2 linked regions of the Caenorhabditis elegans genome follow. The protein of the gene in region 1 purifies or fractionates together with the protein of each later gene. This does not show direct contact. Each region holds a gene or a part of one and is shown in the gene's direction. Other genes may lie near its edges.

Evidence for each region.
Region 2: the proteins of sptl-1 (region 1) and ucr-11 fractionate together in Caenorhabditis elegans (co-fractionation; one large-scale study listed by BioGRID). This does not show direct contact.

What each region holds. Positions count from the first base shown.
Region 1 is NC_003280.10:45,869-57,502, forward strand, and holds the start of sptl-1 (Serine palmitoyltransferase 1), read left to right. Parts: upstream 1-5,783; 5' UTR 5,784-5,790; coding exon 5,791-6,014; intron 6,015-6,069; coding exon 6,070-6,270; intron 6,271-6,346; coding exon 6,347-6,747; intron 6,748-7,132; exon of another isoform or gene 7,133-7,226; coding exon of another isoform or gene 7,227-7,478; intron 7,479-7,525; coding exon of another isoform or gene 7,526-8,834; intron 8,835-8,887; coding exon of another isoform or gene 8,888-9,201; intron 9,202-9,286; coding exon of another isoform or gene 9,287-9,436; intron 9,437-10,947; coding exon 10,948-11,410; intron 11,411-11,469; coding exon 11,470-11,557; 3' UTR 11,558-11,634. Other genes in the region: rpt-4 (putative 26S proteasome regulatory subunit 10B), read right to left, coding at 244-264; rpoa-49 (RNA polymerase I associated factor, A49-like protein), read left to right, coding at 246-1,121, 1,366-1,503; C23H3.5 (Nucleolus and neural progenitor protein-like N-terminal domain-containing protein), read left to right, coding at 1,716-1,773, 2,119-2,869, 3,544-3,698, 3,748-3,995; tre-5 (Trehalase), read right to left, coding at 7,227-7,478, 7,526-8,834, 8,888-9,201, 9,287-9,436.
Region 2 is NC_003279.8:6,548,716-6,559,795, reverse strand, and holds ucr-11 (Cytochrome b-c1 complex subunit 10), read left to right. Parts: upstream 1-6,416; 5' UTR 6,417-6,424; coding exon 6,425-6,480; intron 6,481-6,745; coding exon 6,746-6,860; 3' UTR 6,861-6,962; downstream 6,963-11,080. Other genes in the region: xpg-1 (XPG (Xeroderma Pigmentosum group G) DNA repair gene homolog), read right to left, coding at 1-173, 636-874, 1,009-1,096; tre-1 (Trehalase), read right to left, coding at 1,465-1,611, 1,870-2,160, 2,205-2,508, 2,692-3,105, 3,727-3,819, 3,866-3,966, 4,012-4,235, 4,721-4,821 and 1 more; Dolichyl-diphosphooligosaccharide--protein glycosyltransferase subunit dad-1, read left to right, coding at 5,507-5,717, 6,052-6,182; spg-20 (Inheritance of peroxisomes protein 1), read left to right, coding at 7,184-7,294, 7,345-7,469, 7,575-7,656, 7,701-7,796, 7,876-8,080, 8,127-8,495, 8,616-8,723, 8,776-9,110; F57B10.8 (Activator of basal transcription 1), read left to right, coding at 9,446-9,539, 9,613-9,764, 10,293-10,394, 10,442-10,611, 10,655-10,736, 10,789-10,995.

The sequences.
Region 1 (11,634 bases):
CGTCTCTGAGGCGAAAAAAGTTATTCATGGGTGGTGCACAAATGAAATTCGCCATTTCAAGCTTATATAAAAAATATAGAATATAGAAAATCTTTGAATTTTTTTCACACAGATTTTCGGGTTCAAGGTAAAATTTGGAGTCATTTAATAATATTTCTCAGATTTCTGTACTCCACCTTTGTGTACTCTTGAAGGAATATCGAATTATGTATTTGAATAAGAATATTTTTTAAAAAAACTTACAGAGAACTGGAGAAGCAACATATCGTCCTGCACGATTCTATTCATTCGAAAGCAAGTTCTCAGAAGACATTGAGAAGATTTTCAGTGACAAGAAGGAATCGTCGTCTGAAGAATACAAAAACGATTTTTCAATTGGAGCAGAGAAATGGGCTGAGAAACGTCGTCAATTGACATCGAATTTTGGTTCTTCGAAGAAAATTAAAATGGATGAAGCAGCTCAACGAAGAACTATTAATCAAGAAACATTGGACGAAATGAGAAAGACCGCGTTCGCTTCGAATTCGAACGTTAAAACTGAGGATGGTGCTGCTGACGTGAAGTTGGAGAATATCACAATGATGAATAAAGCCGAATCATCAATTCTTCCACCTGCTGTTCAAACGGAACTTTCACGAGATATCTATCCAATTTCCTTGTTCCTTGAAGACATTGAGATTGACGCAATTGAATCGATCGCCACTGAACTGATGGAAAAGAAGAAAAAAGAGAAACTTGAAGCTGGAATTCCAGAGTGTGTTACTCTTATTATGTACAATGAAAAGACCAAACAACGTGCAGCCGCCTATCTTTTACTCTCCACCATGATCGAGATCCTCACAAAAATGGGAAAGCAAAGACAGTTGCTGAGAAAAGATTTGAGTGAGCTAAAGATGCCCGATATTCTCCGACAGAAAGTTCAGGCCCAGTTTTTCAATGATAGTACTAATGAGAAGGGGTACACTGGACGTGGAGCCGAACGAATCCGTCTCAATGTTACCGACTATGATCGTTTTATCGCGCACACACTTGCATTGGCATTGACATTGGCACCCGAGCACAAAGTACCGATTACTCCATTTCAACAAGCTCTTAGTTATCAGCCTAGTAAACTTGAGAAGGTAAATCCCACTTGAAAATTTTGCTTTGAATTGTTTAAAATAGTCTAAAATCCAGAAAAAATGAACCCAATTTTGTGCATGAAACGTGATAGAAAGATTCGCGTACTTTTACTTTTACAAGATTCGCGTACGCATAATTTTGAAATTATTTATTTTATTTTTTTCTCTAAACATTCTCTAAAATTAAGCACATTTTCAAAGAACTCCAACAAGAGTTTTATTCACCAAAATGCCCCATTTTCAGATGTTCCAAGCACTAGGTGCAGACCTGATTCGTCTCGATGTGGCGTCTGCTCAAACTCTTCGTTCCCTCCGTGCCGCGATTCTCTTGAAACCTCCGAGTCTGGAACAGAAAGGGCCCAGAAAGATCATTCGGCGATAAATATTTTACTTATTTTTTCTTAAATCTTTTCGTTTTCCTCAAATTTGTTTTGTTTTGTTTTCTAAAATCGTTAAACTTGTTTTGTTATGAATTTCCGTTATAATCTTTATTTTTTTCTATCTTGATTTTTGGAGGGATTCGGATTCAAACACCAATCAGATTTCTAATAATTTGTATTTCAAATTTAATTTGATTACCTTTGTTACAGGCATATGTTTTCTAACGAAGACCCAGGACAGGAAGGAGCAGAAAATGATGATGTATTCATTGGTATGCATAGTTTAATAAAAATAATTGAAATTTCTAAATGTAGATCTAAAATATAATTTCTAGAATCAAGATTTTTACTTTTTTGAGAAAAATATTGAATTAAACAAATAAAAATCGAATTTCGAAATTTTAAAAAATCACAAGAAAGTCTTATTGTTTGGCACGGGTTCCGAAGAAAAATTAAAAATTATTTGATTTTGCCTATTTTTTCGTTTTTTCTCGGTGTTTTTCAAGAGAGAATATCAAATTTAAAAAAAAACTATATTTTCAATTAGGTATTTAATTTTCGACCTTTAACCGTAATTTCCTCTAATTACCAGGATATTTCAAACATCTTGATTTCAGAAATGCTGGATGAATTTTCAAATGATGTACCTGGTAGTTTTTTTGAACGTGAGCCCACAAAGGATACAACGACCGCTCGAACAATGCACTTTTTGTTGAAAAGCATTGTTGGCCAACTCAAAAATCCGATAAACACCGAAGCAGAAGCTATTGCTCAGTGGCTCATCTACAAACAAACTGGTCCGCATCGTCATCAGAAGTTTTTTGGACATTTTCGTCAAATGAGCAGACTCGTCAAGAAATACAATGAAATGTCATTAATCAAAAGATTGAATCCACAGTTGAGAAAAGCTGAAAATTGTGGTGGTGACGACGTGTATAAGCTGGAAATAAAAGCTGTTCGATATATGGGATGTGCCTATGTCAAACGAGTCTATCTGCTTGAACGAATTCGTGAATCGTGTGTAAAGTGTGCTGACGGAGCTATTGGATTACTAGAAATTGACCATTGGATCAATTTATCGCTTGTTATTGTGGCTCTTTGCTCACAAATTCATTCAGAAGTTGTCGCTCAAGTGCTTGAAATGGAAAAAGTGTATAAAATAGCAGCCGGTGTGATGATGACAGCCGATTTGAAATTTCCGAAAGAACTTAATGATCTAGAAGTTGTACGGAAGATTAGGCACGAGTCAAGAATCTTCGATGAAAGGAGAATGGAAACTTCAAATCTAACAGCAATCAGCCGTCTTTTGAAGTATAATGCTGAAACAATGAAGCAAGCTCAAACGGAGAATGATTTGAGAATGAAAACGTAGGTTGGCAAAAATTGATTTTTTCAACAAAAAAATTAAAACACAAAATGGCCGGAAATTATTAAAAATTAGAAAAAAAAATTGATCAGAAAAATAATTCTATCTATAAATATATGAAAATAGGTTGATTTCAATGAGAAAATGATTTTTTCTGAATAAATTCAAATTCTGCTAAAATTTTATAAAGAAAGTTGAATTCCCTCCAAAATTTTTCTGAAAAAGTTTGAATTCCCGCACACATTTTTCCAAAGAAATTTGAATTCCCGTCAAAGTGTTCTCGAAAAATATGAAATTTTGCCAAATTGTTCACCACAGTATTATTATAGACCCTGCCAAATTCCCCACTTACCCTAAAGCAATATCTTTTCAAAAGACGAAAAGTCAATTTTTCAAAAGCTACAGTAATCCTACCGTACTCCTACTCCTACTACTACTCCTACTCCTACGTACGTACTCCTAAAAAACCCCTAAATTACAATTACAGTACCCCGACCATATTCCCCTTACTAGCCCAAGCCAATTATCCTTCAAAAGACGAACATTTATTTTTTAACGAAACTACAGTAATCCTACCGTACACCTCCAGTTTTCTCGAAATCTAAAAATTTAATCGTTGCTCGCCAAAAACCCGAGCCACAGGGCATTGAAGAACTTATTTAAAAAAATATTACAGATCAGAAGTTCTAACTGATATTCTTGCCGCTGATTTGAGTTCTCCAATTTCTACGCAGCTTCAGAAGAAAAAGACGAACAATTCCGTGCAAATGGACATGTCAGATTTGGGAATCTCAATTTCACGAGAAGATATGAGCTTCTTGAATACGACAGGTTTTTGTCTCTAATATGCTTCTAAGTAACTAGAATTATCCAATTTTAGGTCAATCCTGTTCATCAATACCTGAAATTGAAAGCGACGAAGATGCTATATTGTTTTCCCCGAATTTGTTTGCTTCAAAATCCATAAAAATTAAAAATAAGTTGAAAAGAATGAATCCGGTTGCCGAATCTTCTACTAAAATAACGAAGACGACTAGTTTTTTATCAGCGACAATGGATATTCTAAATAGCTCACAAGATGCTGCTGGACTACCTAGGAAGAAAAAGAAGAAGATGAATAAAAAGTGAAAGGAGCGATTTATTGTTCTGCATTTACAGTAGCCCATTTGGATACAGTAACCCAAATAGGAATTTTGTCTCCTTACGCACTTATTTTTTTGAAATACTGTATTTCTTAAAGGTACATCACATTTTGGCGCGGCCTTGATTATCGTATCTTGTTTGCAATAGCGAATATTTCCGCAAAAAGTCTTAATTATACTGTTATTGTTATTTGCTGATTCTTCATTTATGAATTTGTTGTTAAAATATATATACATTTTTAAGTTTCAGTTGCTCTTTTTAGACGGTTTCCCTGGACCGTCGAACATTCTATTTTTTTTCTGGCCGTTTCTTTGAAACTCTGATTTTTATCTTTTCCCGTCTCTGTCTGCTCCCGCTAACTGATAGCATTAAATAGTTTTTTTCCGGGAAAATTTCAGCTGTGGCAATGACTCCAATAAAGTTCCGTTTCGTAGGAAATTTGAAGTACGAAAACTTTAGAAACTGAATTGTTTCATTTCGAAATTCGAAAATTTCAGGAAAAGAAGTGCTTACTCACCTGCCTGCAGACAGGAAAAAGTTAGATTTTCAAAAGAAAGATAAATTAAATTTTTTTGCAAAATTTTAGGAAAATAATTTTAATAACGCAAAAAATCAGGGGTGGGCGGCGATTGTCGTTCAGAAAATTTTTTTGTTGACAAATTCGGCAAATTGCCGGTTTCCCGGAAATTTTCAATTCCGGCAATTTGACGATTTGCCGAGAATTTCAATTCCGGCAATTTTCCGATACGCCGGATTTTTTCAATTTCGGCAATTCGCCGAAAATTTTCGATTTCGGCACTTTGCCGTTTTGCCGAGATTTCAATTTCGGCAATTTTCCGATATGCCGGATGTTTTCAATTTCGGCTATTTGCCGATATGCCAGAAATTTCAATTCCGGCAAATTGACGATTTGCCGAGAATTTCAATTCCGCCAATTTGCCGATTTGCCGGAAATTTTCAATTCCGGCCTTTCGCCGATTTGTCGGAAAATATCAATTCCGGCAATTTGCCGATTTGCCGGAAGTTTTCATTCCGGCAGTTTGCCTTTAATTGTTTTTGAACACAAATTCCATGTAATGACACATAAAGGTGCCATCATTTTCAACTAGAAACCAATAAGAATCGATAAGAAAAGGAGAAAAAGGACAGAAGAGAAAAGAAAGATATCGAGAAATATGGGGTGATGGACAGACACAAGGTGCACAAAACACTCAACACTACTCACTTTTCTCGGTTCATTTCTCCTATTTTGTAAATTGTATGTTATGACTCTATTTGAAACTAATTTAAAGGTTATTTAAAGGTTACGCTCTGTTATTTAAATTCTTCTTGTAATTCTAACATTATTGCAAAAACCTAATAATTGACCGGAAAACTGATAGAATACAACTTGTATTTTTAAAGCTATTACATTTAAATATCAAACGACAATACGTTCATTGAAAGCCTACATGAAATAGTTTGCATAACTGAAGAGACGCAGGTGGTGTTGACCTAGCAACCTGTTCTTATTCGTTCTTTCTTTTGTGTGTTGCACATGAGCATGAGCTCCGACCTCTTTTTACAATTTTGTATACCTCACGTGGTGTAGGAATGCCCCATTTCGGTTTGACCTCCAAGACTTGTGGGATTTTAGACACTTAGACTTCTCAACTGATTTTGTGCGGTTAAGAGTGTGCTGACGTCGCATTTTTCTGGAGAAAAAATTCCCGCATTTTTTTGTAGATCAAACCGCGATGGGACAGCACCCCGTGTTACCTATATTACTTTCAGACTAAACATGGGATTTCTACCAGATTCGTGGCATTTCTACATTGAAACTTTGCTCGTTGCACTTCTTGCCTATGTTGTCATGCGGAACAGATCCAAACGTCAACAAGAAAAACTTTCAAAGAAACTAACTGAAAGGCAGAAAGATGAATTAATTGCTGATTGGACTCCGGAACCATTGGTTCCTGAAACACCACAAGACCATCCTGTACTGAATCCAAAATATGCTGATGGGTGAGTTTTACTCGTTTTTAGGCTTTTTTCACATATTCATTCCCCCAAATTGCAGAAAAATGACAAAGGATGTTTCGATCGATGGCGAAAAGTATCTCAACATGGCATCAACAAATTTCCTCAGCTTTATCGGAGTCAAACGGATTGAAGACCGTGCGAAACAGACGATTTTCAAGTACGGCGTAGGATCGTGCGGGCCACGTGGATTCTACGGAACTGTTGATGTTCATTTGGACCTTGAAAAAGAATTGGCAAAGTGAGGCAACTTACTATAGTTATAAAGAGACAACTTACTATAGTTACAAATTTTAATTTAAAGATTTATTTTCCAGATTTATGGGATGTGAGGAGGCTGTTCTGTACAGCTATGGGTTTGCTACAGTATCTTCAGCAATTCCCGCATACGCTAAAAAGGGAGATGTCATCTTTGTTGACGAAGGTGTTAACTTTGCAATCCAAAAAGGTCTTCAAGCATCACGAAGTCGTGTTGAATATTTCAAGCATAACGACATGGAGCACTTGGAGAGGTTATTACTGGAACAAGAACAAAGAGACAAGAAAGACCCGAAAAAGGCCAAGTCTGTACGGCGATTCATTGTTGTTGAAGGCCTCTATGTAAATTATGCGGATCTTTGCCCACTTCCCAAGATTATCGAGTTCAAATGGCGATTCAAAGTTCGTGTTTTCATTGACGAAAGCTGGTCATTTGGAGTCATTGGAAAAACCGGAAGAGGTAAGCTTAATGAAAAAAATTTCAAAAATTTCGTATGGTGGTTAACTATTTTGAAGAAAAACATTCAGAAGTTTTTTTTGGAATTTTTTAAAATAAAAAAAAACGTTCTTTTTTTAGTTTGAAATTTTTTGAATCCGTGGCAAAATTTCAGATTTTTTCGAAAATTAAAAAAAAATTTCAAAAAAAATCTGAATGTTAGCCGGCCCCTAAACATCCGGGAAATCATCAAAATCTGCAAAAAATTCACATTTAGAGCCATTTTACGGACCTCAAAGTTGTGAAAAAATGCATTGAAACATTTTCAGAGCCACTTTTTTCCAATTCAGTGCTCCTCTGCCGCTAAGTTTAGCATGAAAAATACCACAGACCAATACAAACACAAAAATAGGATAGGAAAGCTTTATATATAGAGAAAAGTAATACCCCGTTTGCAAAAATTAAATGTACAATTGAAATAATTCCTATAAAAACAATCGAATCTATAAAATATATAATACAAACACCGTAATAAGTGTGAGAATGTTACTGTACCCGAAAGTAGAGGATGATGATGATGTCGTGATGGTAGTGGTGATATCAATTGGTAGAGATGTCGACGAATCTGGTGACGATTTCATAGACGTCGTTTGTGATCCGACCAATGATTCTAATATCGGCCCGTTATACTGTAGTCGATCGGAATATGTGAAAATTAAATCCAGTGCTGCACCATTGGTCCAACCGAATCCGGCCTGAAATGATCATTTTTTAGGTTTCGTAGTTCCTCTACCTTACTAACCTGAACTTCGTATTCTCCACCAGTCGCCAACTTTCCCAGTGGCTCCTTTACATTATATTTCTCCCACATTTCATCGGAAACATTGAATGTTTGCATATTAGTCTCCAGCCATTTCTCAGCAAGAGTAAACGCCTTTTGTTGTAGAATTGGATTGTTAGACTTGCGAAGTCCTTCAATGATCATATGATTCATTGGACTCCAACCATTTGGGAAATCCCATTGCTGGTTCGTCTCCTCGTTCATACTTGTTGGAATTCCGCCGGGTATTGAGAACGCCCCAGAATTCTGCATTTCATTGTACACATCCACTGCAATCTGAGAGTTCAGTGGGTCGTAGCACTGCGAGAATAGAGGTACAGCATTGGATGCGAAGAAGTCAGTATTGTGGGTGAGTGTCCGAAGATTATAGTCGTACCATCCTTTTCGAGCCGGTACGTAGAATACCTTTGTGAATGCTTCACGGAAGTTTGTAAAACGAGATGACCACTCCAAATGTTTCAAGGGGTTTCCGGTAAGTTTATAGAACAATTGCATAATGTTCATGTTGTAGCAAAGAAAGGCATTCAAATCCACTGGTACTATATTAGTTGTCTCAATAGTTGAAATATCTTTATGATTTTTAAACCATCTACTCGAAAAGTCCCATCCGCTTTCTGCCGCACTTCCCAAGTCTTTGAAAAACTGCTTCTTCCTATCCTTTGTTGTAAAATGTTCTGCACTCAGTACATCCTCTCTGAAACTTTCAGGTCTTGGAGTTTCAGCCTCTGTTCTGTACTGGAACATGTGAAGTGTTTCATTCAAGTCCGGATGCTCATAGGTCACATTAACAGTTCTTCTTTCACTCCAAAATGTGTACTCTTTTTCGATAACTGGTATCAAATCTGCTACTAGTTGAATGTCCTGAGTTGCCAAGTAATACTCGTATACCATTGGTGCGAAAAACGGTGGCTGAGATCTTCGAAGGTAATAAACTCGGCCTCCGTTCGGCACAAAACCATACGTTTCAATTATATGTGCGAAGTTCAATATCATCATTCTTGCAGTTGAATACAGTTCAGACGCGATTAACCCTTTGAGTATCCAATATGCATCCCAATAGTAGAATTCACGGAACCTTCCTCCAGGAAGGATGAACTGATATGGCACATAAATGAGAGAGAAACGAGATGGATCATTTTTCACTTCTGGCTTTATCTGGCGGCAAAGTTGAATCCAAATGAAATGAAGTCGTTGAGCAAAGGCCTGATAGCTAGCATCTTTGATATTAGCCAATTGTTCTGTAATGGGCCTCCAGTCAGGAAGATCGCAACTGAAAACACACGCTTGGATATTACAACTTCGAAATTAATTATGTCAACTTACACATCTAACTCGTTGCCTTCTTTATCGAAAAATTCATCAACAAATTCGGCAACATCTTTCTTGGTTATCTTCTCAATAGAAACAGGGAAACGTTTTTCAAAATGCTCCATAATAGACTTTCCAGTTTGATTTTCTTTCATTGGCTGATCCACAAAAGTCTTGGAATCCGGATACAATTGGACGGCCATGACAGTCTGTAGAAGTTTACCACTACAGTAGATCATCCATTGTCCAGGCGCTGTTTCATTATCACATGGTAGAACACTTCCATTAAAATAGTCGGATCCAATCAACTGAGCGACTTCCTTATCGGTCTGGAAAACCGATATCGATCTTGAGACTGTCTTAAAGCTTCATTAGGAATGAAACATAATTTTTAATTGATTCTAGAACACTCACCAATTGCGTTAGCTCGGTATGTACTCGATTGTCATGCTCTGGTGTTCCAAAATCGGCATTATCGTCTATGATATTCGGCCCTCTTGGATCTTTTTGTGGTCTTGCAGAAACGTAAACTATTAATAGGATAGCTAAGAGAGTCTCTCTCATCTGCAAAATTTAAAGGTTACTCTATACAATAGTTCGAAGAATAAAAGTGATAATTGCTATCGGAAATGGAAGTGTTAGTCGAATACTCCGAGTTTTCAATATAAATATGTTGTTGTTATTCGTTATTCTCGTTAGATCAACGGAAAAAAAATAATCTAGGAGACTCAAATGACATGTTACAATCAGAATATCTTCGTCTTAAATTCCACGGGAAATTCCCACGTGACGATGGCCTTGAAGAACAGTCACGTGGCAAAGAACATGGTGAGAAATTAGTTAAATGAGGAACTATCTTAAATACCTGATGTGTTCGATGGGCGTGTACTGTAGAAAATGATCTATGGGTAGAATTAGTTAACTTTTTTTAAAAGAATGGTACCCTCAAAAATACAAAGTATACTTGATCAAAGTTTTTAGAAGGTCTAATTTCATCTACCTTGTTTTCAATTTCTACATTCAAAAATATAAAATAAATACAGACGAAAAATTGAATGATGCCATACACTTTCGTGGTAACCTGATGAAAAATCATCTGTGGTGACGTTGTATCACGTTTGACTGAATGGAGGATCTAGGTGATAAGGTCACGTTTAAAAAAATGAGTGATATATAAAGGTAGAGTAGGTTTTTAATTTTAAATACATCAAATAGACTGAAATGGTCGAAATCGCCACGCTCACTTTTGAGAGGGTGTGAGAAATGTGTCCATAATTATAATTCAAAACGTTTTACTTAACTAAATCAGTTATTTGTTAATTGAATAATTAGAGGATTACTGAAATCTATAGAAAATGGTACATGCATGCATGTTATTAATTTTATCTCAATATGCAATATATTTTAACAGCTGGTTTCTATCACCGAAAATCGAAAGTAGCCTCCCACTGATAAAATAATCTTAGATCTCATAGATGTCTAATATGTATTGTAATCTCAAAAGTCTCTGCAAAAAAGGTATTGAAAATATTGCGGCAAAATAGGTGCGAGAATTGGAAAACAGGAACCCCACCAATGCTTCTTGAAATAGTGATTTTTACACAAAAACGTGTTTCACCATGATCAGTAAATGTACTTTTTTACTTCAAAAAAACTTTACATCGAAACGAACATTGCTACAATAATAGACAAGTTAAAACTTATAAATAACTAAATATAACATTTCCAATGAAATAGTCTAAACTGGTTTCGCAGTGATCTGGTCCAAACCACCTTTGATCATGAAAACCTACATGTTTTTTCGTGTACTGTGCAAAAATGAAATGACACATCATCATCATCGGGATAATGCAACTAGAACAAATGGATTAAAGGAACCAATGTCTTGTTGCATAGTATGAAATATATGAAAATTGATCAAGGTTTAGAAAAATTATACTACAATACATAATTGTTATAATGTCTCATTAAGAAATTCGATAGTTTTGGCTCACTTCGGGTCTAAAAAAGCATTGTCTCAGATTTCGGTAGTCCATCTTAACATACTTTCATGAAACTTCAAATAAATATTTTAGGAGTCACCGAGCACTTCAACGTTCCGATGGAGGACGTTGATATGGTAATGGCCTCACTCGAAAACGCATTGGCGTCAACTGGAGGATTCTGTGTTGGAAGATCATATGTAGTTGGGCATCAGCGGCTTTCAGGACTCGGATATTGCTTTTCTGCTTCTCTTCCACCTCTTCTTGCAACGGCCGCGTCTGAAGCTATTTCTATCATTGATGAAGAACCAAGTAGAGTTCAAAAAGTTACTGAAATGGCTATAAATGGTCAGAAAAAGCTACAAGATGCGCTGAGTGGATCGAAATTTTCATTGCAAGGATGTCCAGAAAGTCCAATGAAGCATATCTATTACAATGGGGAAGATGAAGAAAAGCAATTGGATACATTTGTGGAGACAGTCTTCACAAAAAATCATCTCCTACTGACCAGAGCTCGATACCTCGACAAGGACGAATTGTTCAAAATTCGGCCAAGGTAAAAACGTTTAAAATATTTATAAACCTGCATAATATTTGATCTAACAATTTTTTCAGCATTCGAGTAATGTTCCAACACGACTTAACTGAAGAGGAGATTCAAAGAGCTGTCGATGCTATCCGAGTTGTTGCTCATAAATTCTAACTACTTACATTGTAAATTTAATGTGATATATATATACAGATATCTCGTGCCAAATTTTTCTGTTTTAATTGTTTCAA
Region 2 (11,080 bases), on another chromosome or scaffold:
ATATTTCCATAAACAAGCTGATCATTTTGATGTGCAGAAGGTTTATCCAAATATGTGCTTGTTGAGGGAATATCCTTATAAATGTCGTTCAGAATTACTTTTTTCGATGGACTTATAACTTCTTTGATTGCATTCGCAAGTGCCACGTCATCAAGACCACCACTGGCAATTTCCTGAAAATTGATTGGTTTAACAAAAGAATTTGGAAATAATTTAAAACTTTTTAAACAGTTAAAAACTTCAAAAAAATTGATGCGAGAATATAGAGCCGGGTCTTGAAACGAATCGATATATTTTAATGAAGATCGTGAAGAGTGTGCTCATTTTTTTGCTCTTTTAAAAAACAAAAAAAATCTAGTTTGTCTTTTAACAACCAAAAATTTAATTGCAAAAAATAGGAAACGGGAGCTACAGTACTACTTAAAGGCGCATAACCATTTTCGGAGTATTTTTCAAAGAAAATTTTCGGTTGTTTCGAGACCGTGCGCCGTATTCTTGCTTCATGAACAGAGCTTTTTCGTTGTTTTTCGTCATGTTTTTGATGGAAAAATTTTGTTATTTTTTCGCTGTCTGAAAAATTCATGAAGTTCTAAATAAATTAATTTTACCCTAATTTTTTGAGATTTTTTCAGCACCTTTAATTTTCCCATTTTCTTCGAATTCTTAAGAATATCATCATCATTCTGTCTTTTTTGCCGTCTCGCTTCTAAGACTTGACGTTTGAGAGGTGGTACTTGTGGTCCATCAAACACGAAAACAGGACGAATTTTGTAGAATAAAAGTTTAGAGAGACGATTTACAAGGAGACGCAGATGTGGAAACGGTTGATCCGATGGATATGCGAGTTGAGCCTGATAGATCCAAATTGAAACATCTGAAAAAATGATAAAAATTACAAAACATGTAATGTCAGAATAAAAGTGAAAAGTACAGTACCCCAATACATGAAAACTTAAATATACGAAATAAAACAATTTTACATAGTTTTGAATTTGTTTTTTAGCTTACCAATTGCCAATTTTTTTCCTTCTAAACATTCCAAAGGAATCTCTGTTGCCGTTGGTTCTACAATTTTCCATAATCCAGTGATTCCCATATCTTGAATTAATTTCTATAATTGGGAAATTTGATGATAAATCAAATATATTACATTAGAATTGCGTGACATAAAAACCAATATATACTGGTATAAGGAACTGGTATAAGTAAAAATTTTATGAACTAAAAAAGGTTTTTTGAAAATAAGGAAAAAAAGAACCCGAAAGAAAACAATCGTTATAATCTGAAAATGGGGGGTTGGACCGGATGAGAAAAAGCAAAATGTGAGTTTGATATTTAAAACAAAAAAATTAAGGCAATCGCTATGGCAATGTTTTTGATTCTTTAGTTAAAAAAGATCTAAATGAGGGAACTGGACTATACACAACAGAAAATAATAAAATCAGGTGCAAATTCTACAGGAATCTATGAGAAAATATACAAAATAAAAACTACAAATGTGATATTCGAAAGGGAAAAACTGAATTTGGAAGCTGTAGAGCTGGATGCAAATTGATCTCCGTATTTGTCCAATAAATCCAAAATAACGCCATTTGTCCAACCAAAGCCAGTCTGGAAATGATTTTTTTTTCCAATTTTTTCTGTTAATTTACATTATTTTCTCAGTGGGATTTTGCTTGAAAATATCCAGAATAGTTCAAAATTTAGGAATACGAAAAGAAAAAAAGAAGAATCATCTAACTTTTGAAAAAAACAAACAAAAATTCAGTCAAAATTGAGAAATCGCTTTTTGAAAAAAAACTTTTCAATTTTTCTGATTATTTTTTTTTCCATTTGTGGAATTTCGGAATTACATCTTTAAATACTCACTTGAACTTCATATTCTCCTCCACCTCCTCCAGAAGTTTCTTCAGTATGTGGAGTAACATTATACTTTTCAAACATAGCATGAGTTCTGATAAATGACTGATATGTTCCAGTAAGCCATGACGTTGCCATCTTTTCAGCAACTTTCATCAGTTTTATGTCACCAGTTGTACGGAATCCTTCGATAACCATATGAATCATTGGAGGCCATGCGTTTTCCTTATCCCATTGCTGCGTACTACTCATTGCAAGAGATGTTGGAAGACCTTTTGTGTATTTCAATAGTCCTTGGCGCTGAAAATTCCCAATATATACGTTTTTTTTAGAGTGACACTAACCTCTAAATAATCATGAACACGATGTGGAATATCATCATCATCATCATAACATTTTGCATACAAAGGAACAGCATTTGATACATAATATTGATTTGAATGAGTTTTCAATTCGATATCATAATCATACCAAATACCATCTGTTTCATTCCAATGTAATTCACGCATTTCCCGTTTTGCCCAAGTGTATCGTTGTTCAAATACTTTCACTTTTTTGAAATCACCAGCAATTTCATAAAGACTCGCCAGAATTCGAGCATTTGCACACATGAAAGCGTTTAAATCGGCTGGGATAATGCTCCACGTTCTGAATTTGATTTAGAATTAAAACCTCGGAACTGTAATTTTTGAATTTGTAAAGACAGCATGTCACAGAAATTCTCTGTTTTCTTTTTCGATTAATCCAGAAAACCAAAAAATCGGAAAAAAAAGTATAGAAAATTAACAAAAAAAGATTTTTTTTTAACCAAAAAACCAACACCCTCGATACCTTATAGAATCCATTCGATGCATTGTATCTCCATTTTGAGAAAACCATCGAGTGGAGAAATCCCATCCCGTCTCGGCAGCCGACGCTATCTCACTCCACATTTGAATTTTCTCCGCTTCAGTTTGCAGATGCTCTGCTAATTCCGAATCCTCACGATATGATTCTGGTCTCGGTACTTTGAGTTTAGCCTTATATTGATAATATGGAAACTGCTTGACACCATCTTTGTCTTTGAACCATTCCTGTCGATTTTTAATCCAAAACTCGTATTCTTTGTCAAGGGTTGGAAGAATTTCCATTACAAAATCCAAATCTCCTGTGCTCATGTAATATTCGTAGACCATCGGTGTCAATAGAGGTGGTTGGGAACGTGTTAGATAATAGACACGACCTCCATTTGGTACGAAACCGTGACTGAAATTAATCTTTATTATCAAATTGGAGAACTTTATTCTAGTGGCCAATTCAGTAGATCATTTTACCACTGAAAGAATAAACATTCGAACAGTTATCTATCCTCCTTTTTTGCACCAAAAAAACTAGCGCCTTGATTTTTATTCAATTCTTTTTTTTTTAATTTCTCATTTCTTTCAAATATTTATGGTGTTTCACCTACATTTTCGCTTCCATAATAAATTCCCAAATATAAAAAATTGTCTAATTTCCATCGATATTTGTTCAGATATGTGCAGCCTACCAATTTCCTACTTTTGTACCGAGGACACCAGCACCACTCCCTAATACGAATCAAAAAACGAACATTCTTTACTTAATAGGTCACATGATGGGCGCATGTCAATTCGAAAAAAGTATGAGTCCATCAATCAATTCTTATCATACTAATGCTAGTGTCAAAATGATAGGGATTTTTGAAGAGTAACGATGTCTCCGTAATCTTTTTTCTAAATAAAAAAACAGTTCCTTTTTGGTTTTGAGCTGTGAATAAATCTTCTAAATTAAGGAAATTGGAAATAATTATTCGCGGAAGCTGTTCAGCATCATGTTCCAAATTTGGATATGAAATCTAAAACTCACTTATCAACCATATATCCTAGATTTTTGATAACTCCTCGAGCTGTTTCATACATTTCTGAGAAGAGAAGCCCTTTGAGTATCCAGAAAGTATCCCTGAAATAATTCGATATTTTATATTCACTGAAACAATGAAGCTCACCAATAGTAGAACTCCAAAAATCGACCACCCGGGATAATAAATGGATGAGGAACATATAGAAGTGAATAGTGATCTTGACGATGCTTGACGTCATCTCGAACCTGAAATTGCTCATTTACAATCAATATTAAGCAAAATAAGATTACTTTTCTACATAAATCTTTCCAAATCCTATGTAAATGCAATGCCCATCGTCTATGGTGATAATCATGAATATTCAAAAAGTTTGATGGAAAATCGACCCAATCTGGAGGAAACCATTCAACCAGCTCACTTCCAGGCGGATTAAAATGTGAAGTTACAAATTCCCTTAAAATAATCATATCTGAAGTTCGATCACCAAGCTCGTCGAAATGTCGAAGTGTCGTAACTGAAAAAGAAAAATTTAAACATTCGTTTTTCGAACATCTCGATCACAAAATATAACCCAAAAACCGGTCTCATCGTTTTCAATTGCTTACCTCATTCAATTTTAACATTTAGCATTCCTTTTTCGAAAGTCACGTGGTGGAAGATGTAATTCAATTATCTTTTTACCAATCATCATCCACCAAAAAAGTTATGATATGGCCTGATTTCAATTTTTTTCCCAAAACACTAAAGGTCAGTAGTTGATTCTCTGACTTCTAATTGCTCTTTGAATTTGAGGAAGCTCGTGTCTGTCAGCTGCTTGAAAATATTCTTCTTTCCTGACTTTTAACAAAGATTTAATTTACAATCAACAAGACCTTTCAAATTTACAACTCCGTTGCAAAAACCGGTTCAGGTGATAAAGATAGCGTCTTTGATAGATTGTTTTTATGTTTTGTTATGTGATTTTTACGTAACAACAACATTAAAAACCAAAAACCTTACTTGGATCATATTTTAGTGACATATCGACGAAGTGCTTCGAGTCTGGAAACATGTGTGAATCTTGTACAGTTTGAAGAATTGGTCCATTGCAATAGATTTGTCTAGAAAAAAAACCATTTTTCAAGAATATTTCAAAGGAAACTTACGCTAGGAGGTTGATTACAGTGTAGAGCATAATTTCCTATAGGGGATGAAGAGTACAGAGAATGTTAATGACAAGGCATTCGGTCAGACACTAATTCGAATTTGTGGGCGGAAAAATTGGCAAAATATCGTTGATTTTTCTTCTTTCTTCTCTGATGTCAGCCGAGTGCCCTCAACGTCTCGTGTCTCACAAAATGAAAAATAAATCAACAAAACATGAAAGTGTGCGGCGCCACTGCAAAAGTGCGTGCCGCAGAGTTGCAATTGGGCGGGGACTTTGGTCCCGCAGCGAAACAACTAGCAAAAATGTGTGCTCCTTTAAACGCCGCCCGCCGCTTTTTACTTGATTGTTGTGCCACGTTGCTCTTTTTAAGCTTTTTAAATATTAATATTGTTATTTTTAAAGGATTTATACTTTGCGGGACATTTATATTCGTTAAATACAGGTCATGAAAGACATTTCTCTTTTATTATACTAGCAAAAATAAAAGTCTGAATGCTTTAAATTTTATTTTTTCATGAACATGTTTCAAGATAACTAGGTTGCATTTTCTAATTCAAAATTTATGTTTTTTCGCTCCTTTCTAATATATTTTATCTTATTGTTCTGTTGTATCTCAAAGATATTAAATTAATTACAGAATGGCGGCTCAAGTAGTTCCAGTTCTCTCGAAACTGTTCGATGACTACCAAAAGACAACATCATCGAAGCTGAAAATCATTGATGCTTACATGACATACATCCTGTTCACCGGAATCTTTCAATTCATTTATTGCTTGCTCGTCGGTACATTCCCATTCAACTCGTTCCTCTCTGGTTTCATCTCCACTGTCACTTCGTTCGTTTTAGCATGTGAGTTGTTTATTCAAAAAATTTGGGTTCAAGTATATTGGCAACATGAGTATTGTTTTCAGTAATAAAAGGTTAAAACGGTGATCTTTGTTTTCCTAAAAAGGGTTTCTGGGTTTCTTAATAGATTTGCGCTGATTTAAAATGTTTGGTACTTAAGCGAAATAAAGTAAATATAAATTGTATGTTCATTTGAGTTTCGGATGGACTGCAATTTTCACATCGTATCATAAACATTGGAAATTCCAATGGGCCCCCGCTTCAGCCCTCAAATGAATTGATAATAAATAAATGTATTTTTAAGCAATTAATTCTAAACGTTAATATTTTGTTTTAGCGTGTCTCAGGATGCAAGTAAATCAAGAGAACCGCTCCGAGTTCACAGCTGTCTCGACAGAACGTGCATTTGCTGATTTCATCTTCGCAAACCTCATTCTCCATCTTGTCGTCGTCAACTTCTTGGGATAAACTCTGAAAAGCTTTAATATGTATTTATTTGTTTCAATTCCTTCCATTAATTTATTTGTGTTGCAAAATGCCACCTGGGGTTTCGTTTCTCTTGCTGTGTTACACCTAATTTAATAAAATATGTTTCTGTTTTAATTAGAAGTTTTTAGTATTCAAGAAGAAAACTGCGTTATTGTCGCAAATTACTTTTGATGTGCACATTCTCATCCAGCTGAACAATTATAAACTAATCAGGTTGAATCATGCTGTACATGAAGCCAGCTCGTTTCGTGAAGAACGCCTTCACCAACCCTAATTAGTAAGTTAAATACTAAAAACGAAGAAGTTTAAGCATAGATTGTTTATTGAAAATACTTGCCACCGCAAAAACACAAGTTTTTAACTTCATTCCGATCTTTCACATCTAAATACAAATTGTAAAATACAAAAAGCAGCCCGCTGTGGTTTAATTACCTAGTCTTCTGCGAACACTCGCAATTTATTTGTTTTGAGTGTTTATAATAATTTAAACATTTTCACAATGAACGTGGATTCGGTTAGGATGTTCTATGATTTTCTTCCAGCTTCAAGTCGTATGGAGCATACGGAGGATCCGCTTTCCTTTTGGCCATCTACTTCTGTGAATGGAAAACCGTCGGACAGTACATCCCACTCTGGAACAAGCGTTACGTCGAATAGATTAAATCCTCAACACCTATTCCGATCGTTGATTGACTTTTTTAGAATTATGAAGATGTTTATCTTCTAGAATCTTTTTGCTCGGATAAACTTTCTATTATTGGCCTCTTTTTCGTTGAAAAATAGTTTATGCACAGTCGCTTAGCGCCGGGATTTCGAAATTGTTGTGACTCATAGCGAGCCACTGAGCAGAGATAGTAATTCAGAAGAGAGACGCCGACGACTAAACTTGTTTTCGCTGTTGTTGTGTGGTCTCTTGCATGTTTTTTTACTCGTGCCGTTTTTTCTCATTCGAATCACTTGTTTCAGTCAAATTTTCAGCAATGTTCTCGATATTTATGAGAATTCCTGATACTGCTCAGGTTGATGCAGTATTTTCTGGAGCATATGCATCAATTGAACAGGGATTATGCTACGATGAGGTTAATGATTGGGTATGTTTATTATTTTGAATGAAAACTTTGAAAATAATTGTTTTTTTAAGGAAAATACTCTCGCAATGTACGAAAAAGGATTGAATTTGATCGTCGAAGGAGAGAAAATGAAAAATGCGAGGAAAAGTGAAATGTGGAAAATGTTACAAGAATCAAAATCAAGTGTCCAGCATAGGTGAGTGATTTTGAATTAAAAACGTTGATAAAACCGCGAAAAAGTACCTTTAAAGTTCACATTATTTTTTTCGACTTTTTATTTGAAAAAAAAAAAAGTTTATAGAATCAACGTTCTGAAAAAGGAAGGACCAAAGCAACCAACTCCAAAGAAAATCAAGGAAGCTGAAGAAAGTGTTGAAAACGAGGTATTTACTCATTTTAATTAATTAAATTCATTTTCCTTTTTCAGAAAGAAGCAATCAGAATGCAGCTCGACTCCTTTGGATCTCAGGAAGCTGACTTGATTTATTTTTTGCCGGAAGGTGTGCAACTCTTCACAATTGATGTAAGTGTTTTCTTCTTTTGTTTAAATTTCTTTTATAGATAGTTTTCTAAATATTTCTACAATTTTATTATATTTTCAGGGGGAAAAAACAACTGCTCCAACTGCTCCAACATCTCTTCAAATTCTCCGTTTTCCTCAGCCAACTGATGGTGGAGCTTCTTCAGATACACTTGCATTCATGCAAGTTGGGCCTTGGGCATATCCATTGATGGGTGCAAAGACTCCAGTGCTTCGTAACGAATTCGGAGCATATTTGGTTGCCAATCCGACTCCAGAAAATCCAAGTGGGAAAAATTCAGACATTCAAAGATTTCAATTTGTAATTTTCAGACATGACTGTTGCAATCCTACTATCATCAGACATTGAGCGAAGATTAATTGAAGAACTTCACATTGTTCTCCGTGAATTCACGGATTTCAAAGAACAAGCTGAACCATCTACTGAACTGAGTAAAGAAGAGAAGAATAGGATTTCTACAACAATTTCGAATTTTCTGATCAAAGGAGGTCAAAAAATAGCTTGGGGAGTTGAAACAACAACCGTACGAGTGATTTCAAGAGTTGAAGATAATGGAGAACAGTATCGAACAACACTTATCGCAACGGACAAACCAATGCAAGTGTCTCCAGTTATCAAAGGAAGTGTAGTTTATATGCATAAAGGAACAAAGACAGTCGCTAAGTGCACAAGATATTTGTGTAAGTTTTCGACTTTAAGAGAGAAGTTTGTAGAGAAGAGATTCTGAAAAATATTTTGGACACGAAAAGTTGGCCAAATATTTTTTCAAGTATTAGGGATTTAAAAATTCAAATTTTCAGTGGACAAAATCGGAGATATGGGCGTTTCGATGGGAAAGAAATTGGCAGATAGTGCACAAAGACGATTTGGAGATGGAAAAAGTGGAGGACTCGTATCCGGAACCATTGGTATGGCTTATAACTGGTTTCCATAAAATAATTTTTATTTTACTATTTTCAGAAATTCTTGGAGGCGGAATCACTGGTGTTGCCACAGTTTGGATGAGTTTGGAAGATGGTTCCCGTCATCTATGCCGAAGTATTGCGAATCAAACTGTACAGAACGTGAAACTCAAGTACGGAGACGATGCATCAGATACCACTCATCATGCTCTTTTCGCTGCCGGACACGGAACACTTGCAGCTGCTCAACTATGGGATTTGGGACCAAGAAGTGTTGCTGGAAGGATGGCAAGAAAAGCTGGAATTCAAATGGTATCGGATTTGCATCACAGTAGAAAAGGAAGTCGTTTAGATCAAGAAGTGCCAGCTTTGGAGCTCAAGAAGGCTGTCTAGATTTTTTTTTTGAAAACATTATTTTAGAAACAATTTGAATACAAATTTCCTCATGTCTTCTTCAATTCCAGTTAATTTTTACGAAGTTTAATTTTTCATGCATCGAACTTAATTTTTTTGCATTGTATTATTTAATAAATCTATTTTCGCAAAACAGTTATATTTGAACCATACATGTATTTAATCTAAAATTCTATATCTCTGAATGTTTATGCCTTGAAAGCGCAAAAAATACCGATTTGTTTTCAGTGCGATTTTCGAAAAAAAAAAACGTAGAAAATTTTTGAGGATTTTAACGTATTGGAAAATCTCGAGCAATTATAAATTTTGGAAAAATGGCGCCTATTCCAAAAAAGAAGAAGAAAATTGTGAGAAAATCGATCAAAAAGCCTGTTGTAGAAGAAGATATGAAAATGGAAGAGGAAAAAGGTGAATATTCGAACTAATGCTTGCACTATAAATTGATTTCGCAATTTTTATCCGAAAATATCAAAATTTTCAGAAATGCTTGAACCAAAAGAGGAAAGCATTGAAACAGATAATAATGAAGATGAAGCTGGAAATCTGGACGATTCTGAAATTAAAACAGAAGAATCAGAAGATGATGAAATGGAGACTTTTGAGGATCCAGAACAAAAACAAAAGAAGACTGGTGTAAGTTTTTTTTTAACTTTTTTATTCGAAAATACCTGAGAATTAGGGTTGAATCCTAGAAAAAAAACGTTTTTTTCGTAATTGAAAAAATAAAAAAAAGCGAAACATTTTTTAATCGAAAAGGAAACATGAAAAATCGTTTTTTTTAAGCAGAGCTTATAACGAACATTTTTGCATTTTTTAAATAGAAACACTTTGCACAGTTACAATTCTGAGTGTCGTTTTTCTGTATAGAATTTATTCCGAGTCTAAAGCGCAAAAAAATACCAATTTTTTCCTAATTTTAATGAAAATTTATGAGTTTTGAGTTACCGACAGGTTAAAAGAATTTTCCAGGTTTTTTTCGCTTTTAAAAATTAATTTTGTTTAAAAAAACAAAAAATATTCTGCTCACAATCAGAATGTTAGAAAATTTTAAGTAATTCTTCAGAAGGATTAGTTAACTTCAAAAGATCCCTTCTCGGATTGTTGATAAAATATAATTTTAGACTATTTTAGAGGCCACAGATAAAAAAAAGTAATTTTCAGGTTGTCTTCTTCTCAACAATTCCTCCAAAATACAACGTGGTTCGAATGCGTGAATACTTTGAAAAGCGATGCCCTGGACAAGTTGGTCGAATCTTCCTTGCGGTAGCTTATTTTTTTTTCAAATGAAATCATAAAAATTATATTTTTAGCGTAACAAGCACTCGAAAAATCCGCAATATCTATATTCAGAAGGATGGATGGAGTTGAAAAAGAAAAAGATTGCAAAAGCAATTGCTGAACAAATTGATAACACTCCGATTGGTGGAAAGAATAAGGATCCAGTGTCGAGCATGTTATGGAATATTAGATATTTATCTGGGTAAGTTATTCATGAAAATATACATGAATTTTTATTTTTCTAGTTTCAAATGGGTACATCTTATGGAACAATTACAATATGAAAAAGAAGTGGAAAAACGACGAATGAATGTGGAAGTCGCACAGGTACAGTAACCCCCGGTATTGGCCACTTTGCATTAATATTCTTCTTTTCAAGGCTCGTCGAATTGCTGCTCACTTTGAAGAACAAATTGAGAAAGGAAAACATTTGAGAAAGCTTGAAGCAAAGGTTACAGCTTCCGGTGGAAAGTGGGATAAATTCCAGCGAGATGTCCAGCAGAAGAAGGTTGTGAAGGTGAAGAAGGAAAGATCAAAACATGTTAACACAGAGAGTAGCGAATTGATGAATATGATCTTCAAATAAAATTAAATCTTTTTTCTCATTGTTACTTTTATTGTTACTTTTTCACTGTTTTTGTTGCCCTATTGAAAACTTTTTTAAATATAAA